Linked DNA regions of Drosophila melanogaster. The protein of the gene in region 2 interacts with the protein of the main gene of each other region in a pairwise test. Each region holds a gene or a part of one and is shown on either strand. Other genes may lie near its edges.

The links.
Region 1: the proteins of app (region 2) and Lasp interact in a two-hybrid assay, tested with the Drosophila melanogaster proteins (one large-scale study listed by BioGRID).

The regions. Positions count from the first base shown.
Region 1 is NT_037436.4:16,708,629-16,713,446, reverse strand, and holds the start of Lasp (lasp), read left to right. Parts: upstream 1-1,769; 5' UTR 1,770-2,435; coding exon 2,436-2,504; intron 2,505-4,818.
Region 2 is NT_037436.4:12,263,586-12,268,892, forward strand, and holds the start of app (approximated), read right to left. Parts: upstream 3,257-5,307; 5' UTR 3,070-3,256; intron 2,162-3,069; exon of another isoform or gene 2,007-2,161; intron 1,326-2,006; 5' UTR 1,036-1,325; intron 1-1,035. Other genes in the region: CG32100 (uncharacterized protein), read left to right, coding at 4,045-4,065, 4,173-5,307. UniProt on the Drosophila melanogaster protein: Palmitoylates Dlish which is required for the apical cell cortex localization, total cellular level and full activity of dachs.

The DNA.
Region 1 (4,818 bases), 4.4 Mb from region 2:
TAGCTTTTTAAGTAAACAAAGGAGAACGCTATGGTCGAATTACGCAGATAATAGAAGTGCGAGGGAGATGCAGGAAGGAAAGTAGAAAAGTTGACTGACAAAATATTTACCACCTAGAAAAGGTCTATCATGTCTCTACAACATGGCGTATGAGTGTAATTTGATATGCAGTGCTGTTAAAAGGGCAAAGTATCTTTAAAGAGAAACAATTTAGGACAGTTTTTCTTTTACTGATTTCAGAAATATTACTTTAGAACTTCGAAGTAGGGATGCCTGTGTTCAAAATACATAATATACCCTAATTCAATTGACAATACCAAATAAATTCGTTGTTGACATAAAACACTGCAATTTAAATCAATGTGAATGGCTTGCGTTTTTAGTTGATAATTTCATCATTCCTCACTAGCAAAAATTTCAAGAAAAAAAATTTCTTCCCACAAGAAGAATTACTTTAAAAAGACTTTATAGATGAAAAAATTCCGTTTTAAGGTGTTATTTGTATTACTTACATTTACAAGGACTCGTTTTCTTGCGCAGCGTCTGCATTTTGCTCAGAAAAAGCTGATTGGCATTCGTGTAGTAATTCCTTTGGCCGCGTATAATGTTGCGAATAATGATTGAGCCTTAAAGAGCTTTATTTATTTATGATTTATTGGACTTCCTTCGTTGTTTTATTGCTAATTGCCTTTTGTGATTTGTTTACACTTGTTTCGCTCTTTGCGTCTTCCGTCTCTTTCGCACTCCCCAACTTCCTGACAGTCAGCGTTTTGTTGTTGTTGTTATTGTGCCAGTCGGTCGATAGAACACACCGGCATTTGTCTCACTCACACTCGCACGCGCTCACACGGACACGGCACGGATTATCGATTTTCCAACGGGGGCCTCTGTGTGCGTGTTTACTTCCACTTTGCCTACTTTAAGGCGTTGTGGGGGGTGGGAAAGGGATGTAGCTACGCCTTTCATTATGCAGCGGTAAGCTATCTAACTTCAATTAACTGTTATTCGTTGTTTTTGATCCTTTCCCGTCTTAATATTGCACAACACGCGCAGCTTTCTTTGTCTGGCAGCCAGGAAAAAAAGTGAAGCACAAAGAAGTGGGTGACACACTCGTGATTTTGGCTGAGCGAAAAAACCAATTCGACTCTTTTGGCAAATATTTACAAGCTGATTTTTACGTTCTTCCTGCTTTGCATGTTATTGGCCATTAATTTAACCCAATTTGAATGGGTTTGTAGTTTAATTTGGGTCCTACGCCCTGGGAGCAGCAGGATATGCACACACACCGAAAATTCGATAGTAAAACTCCAAGGATTCGAGGGTGGTGGGTCAAGTGCCGCGGGCACCCTGTACGCCAGCCGGTACATAGGCTATCGGTCTATCGACGACAACCGATAGGTAATTGCTCGTACTTGCGGTACACACAATTACATATGTTTATACAAAGGTTTGACATAAATTGAAACTATAATAGTAAATTTCTCTGTTAAGCTTTGATAGAAAAAAAAAATGTAAAGATTTTATACCAAGGGTACCTTAAAGTTCGATTAGCTATCAAGATATTATGTCGTTAAAACTCGTATAACCGTTGAAGATCCTTTTTTAAATGATGATTTAAATTTTCTTGGTATTTTCTACAATCGAATAGATGGTCACACTGCAAAGCAATTTCTCCACAAAACAGTGGCGCCATTACGGCCGAAAAGAGAACTCAAAAACATAGCAAGACATCGAAAAATATTGCACCACAACCTTGCAACGGTCACTTTGCTCGCAGTCTGCTGCGGTCACTCTATTCGAACGGAACGGAATATTTATCGCGGATTGTCGCGTTATTTCGTTTGTGTCGCGCCTCCATCAAACTCACCTTAAAAATTAACACTCAAATCGTAGATTACGAGCTCTGTGCGGTGTTATCAAAAATAACGGAATTAATTCATTACGGACGCCTACGCCAGTCGTTCTTCCTCTTTTTCCACTGCGCGCGTCGCTTATTTTTACCTGCAGCGCAGTCGCGACAGCTGAAAATTAATAAAACGAAGAGAAAAGTGTAAATTGGATCACAATTGGTAACAAAAAGTCTATGCGATCGATCGCCAGTTGTTTTATACATCAACAACAACAAAGCAAACCAGTTATTAGATGTTTTTGTGAATAGTGTAAATCAAATTCTCGGCTCATACCTACACACACACCAAATACATTCCCGTAGTTCCTATTCAGATCCGATCGGTTCTTCGACTCGCAGATCACAGAAAATATGCAAAATTAAGCCAAGAGGAGCGTAAATTCGTGCGCAAATCGTGGGCGCAAAAGTGTCGTCAAAACGGGGAAAATAATCAAAGTTAACAGTAATATCCTGTTGTGTAAATAAAAGGCTTATACATACACACACAGTCGCAGAAGCAACAAACAAAGGAGGAAAAAGCGGCAAGATGAATAAAACCTGTGCCCGTTGCCAAAAGGTGGTTTACCCCATCGAGGAGCTTAAGTGTCTGGACAAAGTGAGTTACATTCCCTATGCATATGTAGACTATTTATCCTATTCAAATTCTATAATGTTCGCGGTGGCTCCTTTTTCCGTTTTAAGCCGCTCTTTTGTGCACTTGTTGCGGGCGCAAGAACGAGACGGCTAGCTAGCACATGGCCGTGGGTTCTGCTCTCCCGCTCCCTCTCCATGATTTTATCCCTTCCCCCATTGATCATGCGTGCCTTTTTGTATTTTTGTTGCTCTGCTTCTTCGGTGTTTATTATCCTATGCTTAATAACCGCAAAAGTTGTTTGGCTGCTTTGCCATTCGCTTCGCGGAATTCAAATATTTACTCGAAAATAACGGCGCAGCCTCGCGCGCGTCCCTGTGTGGGTGTAATGGCACTATTGCACTGAGAAAAATCACAAGATCGCTCTTTTAATACGATTTTCATTTCCACTGGAAAAAGAAGATGAAAAAAATCTTTATTTATTTTTATATTTTATATTTTGATAAAATATATATAATTTTCTACAAATTATAAAATCTATTTTTCTATTATACCATTTGATTCTAAGTGATATAATCTTTTCGTATCCCACGATCGATGCAATTGATCAGTTCAGCATTTTTGCTCAGTGTAGTAATGCGCGGGTGGCGACAACCAACAGAAATTACTGCTCACATTTTCGCCAACTCAGGAAATTTCTACAATTGCTTTTAATTTACGTTTGCCGCCGCCGCTTCCGCTGGCAGAATTTTCGGGCTCCCTCTCTAATTATATCGTGGCCTCTCTTTCCCGCAGCGGCGCTTGTTGCATTTCAATTCTTGCGATCTTGTGTCTTTTTCGCACGGCTTTTTTGGTTGCAGCCGCTTTTGTTGTTGTTGTAGTTCTTGTTATCTTTCGAAAAGCAACAAAAGCAAATCCGTTGACCGACCTTGAGCGCATATTTTCGAGACTTGAGACCAGTTTTTTTTTACTGCGTTCTCCACACACACGTACACACACACTTACGCTTAAAATCTGACACAGTGGTATTCGCGAAATTAGCAGCAGCTGGCGAAATGAAAATATAATTTTTTTATTTTATTTTTTATGTTTGAAAGTGCTGATTATCTTAATTCTATTTCCGCTTAAAAGTGTTTTGATAAAATACATATATATTTAAATATTTATTTTTTTCACCTAACTAATTATTTGATTTACTCAAATTTCTTGATAAATTTTTGAATTCTCTAGAATATTTTTAAATGAAAATACTTCGTTTACCGGAAATAAACACCGTTTTTGCATTCTTGGAAATCGTTGAGCTTAACGGTTTGTACCGTTAAGAGTTTAAATTGCAATGAATAGTATTCAAATAAAAATGGGAAAGATTCGTTTTTCTTAAGAAAGAAGTAGGATACAACATAGATTTTATAAGTTGGAAATTTGTTTTGTAGCTGAGCAATTAGACTGAATACTGTTGCTTTTACGAGGAGAAGACTATAATTAGTTGGCGCTTTTCAAACTGTAGATTTGCATAATGTTTGTACTATATTGACAATTAGTTTTCCAACTAAACGACTAAACACAGCTGTAGTTGCACGCAAAGTGGGGCTTTCGTTTCTCATGTTCAATGTGCCCATGGGCTTATTGGTTTACGCCTAATCCAGTTTATTTTAAGCGAACTTATATTTGCCTCTAAGTCTGGGGGCTTTTCACCAATTGCAGTTCCATTTTATTTTCGCCCTTGGCTGGGCTGTCTATCAGTCTGTGTTTACGTTTCGAGGGCCTGTGTTATTGTTGTTCCCACGAAATTTGGAAGCTGATAACGCAGCTATCGAGCCGAGCCACAAACATTTACATTACGAATCGCTTGGATCGGCTCGGCTTCCCCTTTGAATCGAATTGAATCCATCAACGAATTCCGATTGCCAATCAGTTTCGAGTATATCAGCAGCGTTGAAACGTGTCAATCTTGCCCCGTATAGAACTAATACCCCTTCAGCGCCAAGAAGCACATCCTAATTATAGTCTCGTCTTTCTAGAGTTTCTTCTTCTTCATCTTCTTCTCCCCTTCCGAGTCAGCAATTTCGATTCTAATTATAGACAATGGAGTAATGAAGACTATTTTAAAGTCACAAGACAGACGCACTGAAGTCGGTTATAAAACATTTATGTATGTGCGTCTGTGTGTGTTTTTCGCCTAATGGAAATGCTGAAACTTGTAAACACAACGTTTGATGGGTATGAAGTGAGGGAGTTGTGTGTGTGTGTGTGGGGGGGGGGGGGGGCGAAGTTTGAGGAGCATAAGTTTACCTTTACATTAAATTGCATTAGTTCACTTGTGTAGTTTCGTGTTCAA
Region 2 (5,307 bases):
ATTTCAATCGATTCGGGGGATTTGATTAATTGCATTGTAACTAGCAATTACAGTAAATTTAATAATTGCCACTCAATGCAATTCAACGCATCTTCGATGGGAACTCTATTACGCGTGTCGAAATGAACCTATTAAAACAATTCGAACAAAAGGAATACCTATGTATACTGTCGCCATGTCGCGTTAAGTGCAGTTAATATGCATTAATTATCGACGGCAACAAAGATGCAAAATTAACGTAAATCAACCGAATATTGCAATTTTCGCAACAGAAATCGAATGATAAATAAAAAAAAATTAAGAGTTAAATGCTTGCTGAGCTCATTATTTGCGAAATGGAATTTATTAACGACTTTTATTTGCTCGAGCATTAACAAATAAATACTGTGGATACATCATTTATTAATTTACATAATTAATGCCTTACTTATAAGTACATAGAACTCTCCCTTGAACCTAAAAAATAATGTTCAATGTCTAGAAAAGTTAAGTAAGTTATCTGACATGGCAATCTTGATTCGATAAGAAGTGAAACATATATAAAAACTGAGTATTAATAAAGTTCGAGATTGATAGCAACATTGATAGTAAATCAGCATTCACGATGTTTAGGCAAGTTTTCAAAATTTTCATGAAGAAAGCTGATGTGAAAATGTTGAAGTCCTATAAAAATTAGCCTATTGATATTACCAGGCAAATAATTGCGTAGTTCATTTGATGTATTTGCTTTAGTTAGTATGTAGAAAATGTTTAGCGTCTCCATTCAAGTTGCTTTGTGTGTGTACTTAGCCCACTTGTATTGAACTTACTCATCGCACAATGTCGACAATATCGCAAGTATTTCACACAATTTCACACGATTCGCAGACAGATAGTGGTATAGTGGTAAATATACAAATATAGAGGGAGTTACGAGTAACTCTCAATGGGGCAGCAAATACAAGTGGGAGGCATTTCGAAATACTCCAAAATAAGTGGGGCCAGGGTCAGGGGTGTAGTATGTAATATATATATATATATCTGAATAAAACTCACCTCGCTGCAGATTGTGTACTTAATTTAGGCGATGAGTTGCCAGCAGCAGAAACAGAAACATTGACCTCGGAACACTTTTCGACATTCGCCTTCGATGATGATTAAGTACTCGAATGCTTTTCGATTACACGCGTTAATTTCACGAAAATATAGTTTAATGGACTTCTTTTTACAGATTTTCGGTTAAAATAGTTGTGGATTATACAGTTTTTAAAATAATATACAGTAGATATTGGTTTGTCTTCATTTGGTTGTCGAGTTTACTTTGTAGTTAAGGTGTTATAACTGTGCTGTTTTCAATGTTGGAATATTTAATATTTTCAATGCTAGTTTTATATTTAATTAATAAGTCAATTTTGCGGATATTTGCTGTACATTAAAATATACATATTTCATATTTATATATTACATGTTTACTTGCGCATTTTATTGCTTTCCCTAAACAGGTAAAAATTCCAGGAAAATAAACAATTTTTGGTGGCTCAGTTGTGGATGTTTATAGACTTGATTTCAATAATCGCATATTTACACTTCTGAATTTTCGTTTCTGATAAATATTTACGCGATATCTTGAAATCGCCGAAAGTGTAACAACATTTCGACGACCTACAAATCCGGGTGAAATAAAAATGATTCAATTTAGTGGGTTAGTCGCAGCGACTAAATGAAAAGCACCCCGCGATTGAGGTGTAAAATGAGGTAATTTCGAATTTAAAAACCCGGAGACCAGGTAAAAAAAAGTAAAAAAAAAAAAAAAACAAAACAAAACAGGTTTTTAGCGATGATAACAAGATGGAACTAAAAAAAAGGGGAGAGAAAAGGGAAAAACCGGAAAGCTAGACGCGATAAAAAAAATGCTAGTCAAGAAAGCGAAAAGCAGCAACTAACTGTATTCCTATAGAGCATATTTTTAAGGAAATCAACCCAAGCACATGTGGTTTTAAAGGCGACAAACAAACAAACATACGTACACAACCACATGCATCATCTGTTTGTAAAATATTCAATGGAATCCAGTCACGACCCGCCGACGCAAAGACAATTTGCAAAGACAGTCTCGCAATCGCAAAGGCAGAACGACGGCAAATGCAGCGGAAACACAATCGAAAGAGCAATAAAAACTATGCCGACACAAAACCAATTAAATATAGTTGCAGTTAATTAATTATAAACCGTTTGGCGAAACGAAAATAAAACACTGGTGGGCATTATTGATATTTTTAAATTTTTTGGCGTCACTGACACAATTCGCGCTCTCTCGCTCTCTTTTATTTGCCTTTTCTTTTGTTGCTTTGCATGTGTGTTGTGTTTCCCTTGATTTTTTTTTATTGTTTTGTCTTGTTTGTTGCTTCTTTTTATGCTTCTCTCTCTTTGGCAGGAAGAACGAGAAACAAACTCAAAATTCTCTGAATATTTCTTTCATTCGGATTTTTTGTGCTGAGCTGCTGAGCAAAGAAAAAACAACAACAACAAACGCCAACGCGCCTTCTCACACAAGCACAATCAGACTCGCACACACATGCACAGTTCAAATTAGTTGGGGCAACAACAATAAGCGATGACTATTGTTATTTAAACACGGCTGCTTTTTTCTCTCTGCTCATCGCTGCAAAAGCCACGCGACAATTGTTATGTTTCAACTGCATTTGGGGAAATAATACTTTAAGAACGGTACATAAAAAAACATTTAAATCAGCACAGTTTCGCGAAGCAAAGGCAATTACAAAACCAAACACTTGAGGGCGCCGCGACGTGTGGAAAAGAGACGGCAGAGCCAAAGACAAAGACAGCTGAGAAATACGTGGAAGCGGTGATTTTCGATTTGTTTTGCTTTTGCTTTTGAACGTCAATTCTTCAATCTATATTTTTACACACAACAATATTTTAAAAACGTTTATATTAATAGTTGTTTTTGAACACATTTAGCGCCAAAATCTCTTCATATTTTCCCGGCGATTTATCGGATTTACCGATGTATTTTCAACACAAGTGCGAATCTTTTATTTTTTTTATAGGATAACCAAAATAATTTACCAATGTTTTTCGTCTTTAAATATTTGAACTTTTAGGGAAACAGCGTGCGCATTCAGCGCTCTCCCGAATTTAATTGAAATGCGCGCCTCCGGTGCGAAAATTGGAGTGAACCCGACGCAAAGTTGAAATGAAAACAAACTGACGACGGTGTGTCCGAATTTCGGGTGTGTTAAAACACTTCTGCAATGCTAACAGAGCTCTGTAATGTGGATTGTTCTACTGTTGCCATACGGTCACACACTTTTAAGCCGCTCAAGTGCTTGTGACACCACTACATTTGATATATAAATTAATATGCTTCTAAAGAGCTTAATTAATCATAAACTAGTTCATCTCTGGAATTTTGTGCTTATTGTTTGCCCTAACAATTCAGACTTTTGAAATCTTAAAACCCAATTCCTTCCATTGTACTGGACTCCACAATGTAGTGTCGTAGCGGTATAAGTATGATCTCTCTGTTAAGCGCAGCAACAAGGTGGCAGCGCTTGCACTTCCGCTAACGTTAAAAGTTTGAACAACCCGGCAAAATATTTTAAATAATTTAAATAAATAAATAATAATTAAATAATTTAATAAATAAAACACAAAGCCTTTCATCAATTTTAAAGAGCTGCCTATATTATTTTGCTAGATTTTGCTTGTGCTTTTGTAGTAAAACAGAAAGATCGTTAATGAGGAATATGAAAGTGTTTTTACTAAATACAACTTTACCAGAATCTTTGGCATAAAGCCAAAATAATACTTAATATGAAATATGTTCTTATCAAACTTGCAAATTCAATTTTCCCGCCAAATGTAAAGTGTGACCAGTTACAAGTACCAGTCCTTGTGAGCCTCTGGTTTTTTATTAGCTAAAAGCGGCGGGCACTCCGCAACTCAGCTGATCGATCAAACAAAAAATATTGATACACAGGAATTTATGAAAAAAAATGCGCAGCGTTTAGAAAGGAGAAAGTATTTAGTAGCACGCACGAAATGGACAAGAATCTGGATGAGGTTTGTGTTTGTACTCTCCTTTTTTTATATTCAGCCCCCTAAAACCGAATGGACTGTGTGTTTTGACTGCTGTTTACTGATACACGCCCCAATTTTTCATCGCCCAGGTCAAAGACACCGTACAAAAGAAGTTCAATGAAATCCGTGCTGCGTTGCATATGCGCGAGAAGTTGCTGCTCCGGCAACTGGAGGTCATAGCGAACACGCGACAGCAGCAGCAGCTGCTGAAGAAGTCGCCCACCGAAATGGAGAACTCGAACTCGGTTGGCAAGAAAGATCAAAGTGGTGTGCGTTTCATTCCCGGGGAAAGCGAGGATGCGGAGGAGAAACTACTGACAGCCATCCGAAGCTACGGACACTTTCTGCTGGACAACAGTGATATGCAGTTGGCGCTGCAGGATTACCGCACCACGGGTTTGAGGAACGAGGACTACATAGAGCCACTAGATGACCACGAGACCATGTACAAGTGCCTGCAGGATGGGCAAGTATCGTATCTCGATCTGGACGAAGACGGTGCCCCACCAGAGGCCATTGTGGTCGACTTCTCTCGCAACAGAAGTCTCGTCGAAGATAATGCCAAGCGCTCCATTATCAACATTACACTGCAGGAGGCAAAGGATCTGATAAAAAAGGCCAAGATCAAGAGGGATACATATGTGCCGCCCTTAAACTTGGAGGAGCTGGATGACGAGTTGGAATCTTCGATTGCCGAAGCCGTTTCCAGCTTGGGGCGAGAAACCTCTGCCAAATCAAAGAGCAGCGTACAAGAACCACCGAAATGCAAGGGTCGCAAACAGCGCTTCAAGCCAAAAATCACAATCAACAATTGCAATGGCACGATCAATCTGCGCAACATAGCCAGCCTGACCATCAACTGCGCCAGCGAAGAGGCGGTGAGTGCAGAGATGCCCCTGGCCAAGTCCGCCGATTCCAGTACCACCGAACCCTCGAACTCCACGCCCACCACCACCGCCTCCAGTTCCAATTACTCCAGTAATGCCAGCTCCCGTTCGCAGTCCAAAAAGCAAAAGGCGAACAAAAAGCTGGACAAGATAGAGCGTGAACCCAGCTCGGATTCCACTCCTACGCCTGGACAGGCCCAGCGGTACGAGGAGACCGAGATTCACGATGTCACCTGCGATTTTTACAATCGCCTACTCAACGAGATCAAGAAGAGCATGGTAGAGAAGCCACGCAGGACATACAACCAGTTGGCAGAGCCCGTTCAAACATCGGCTG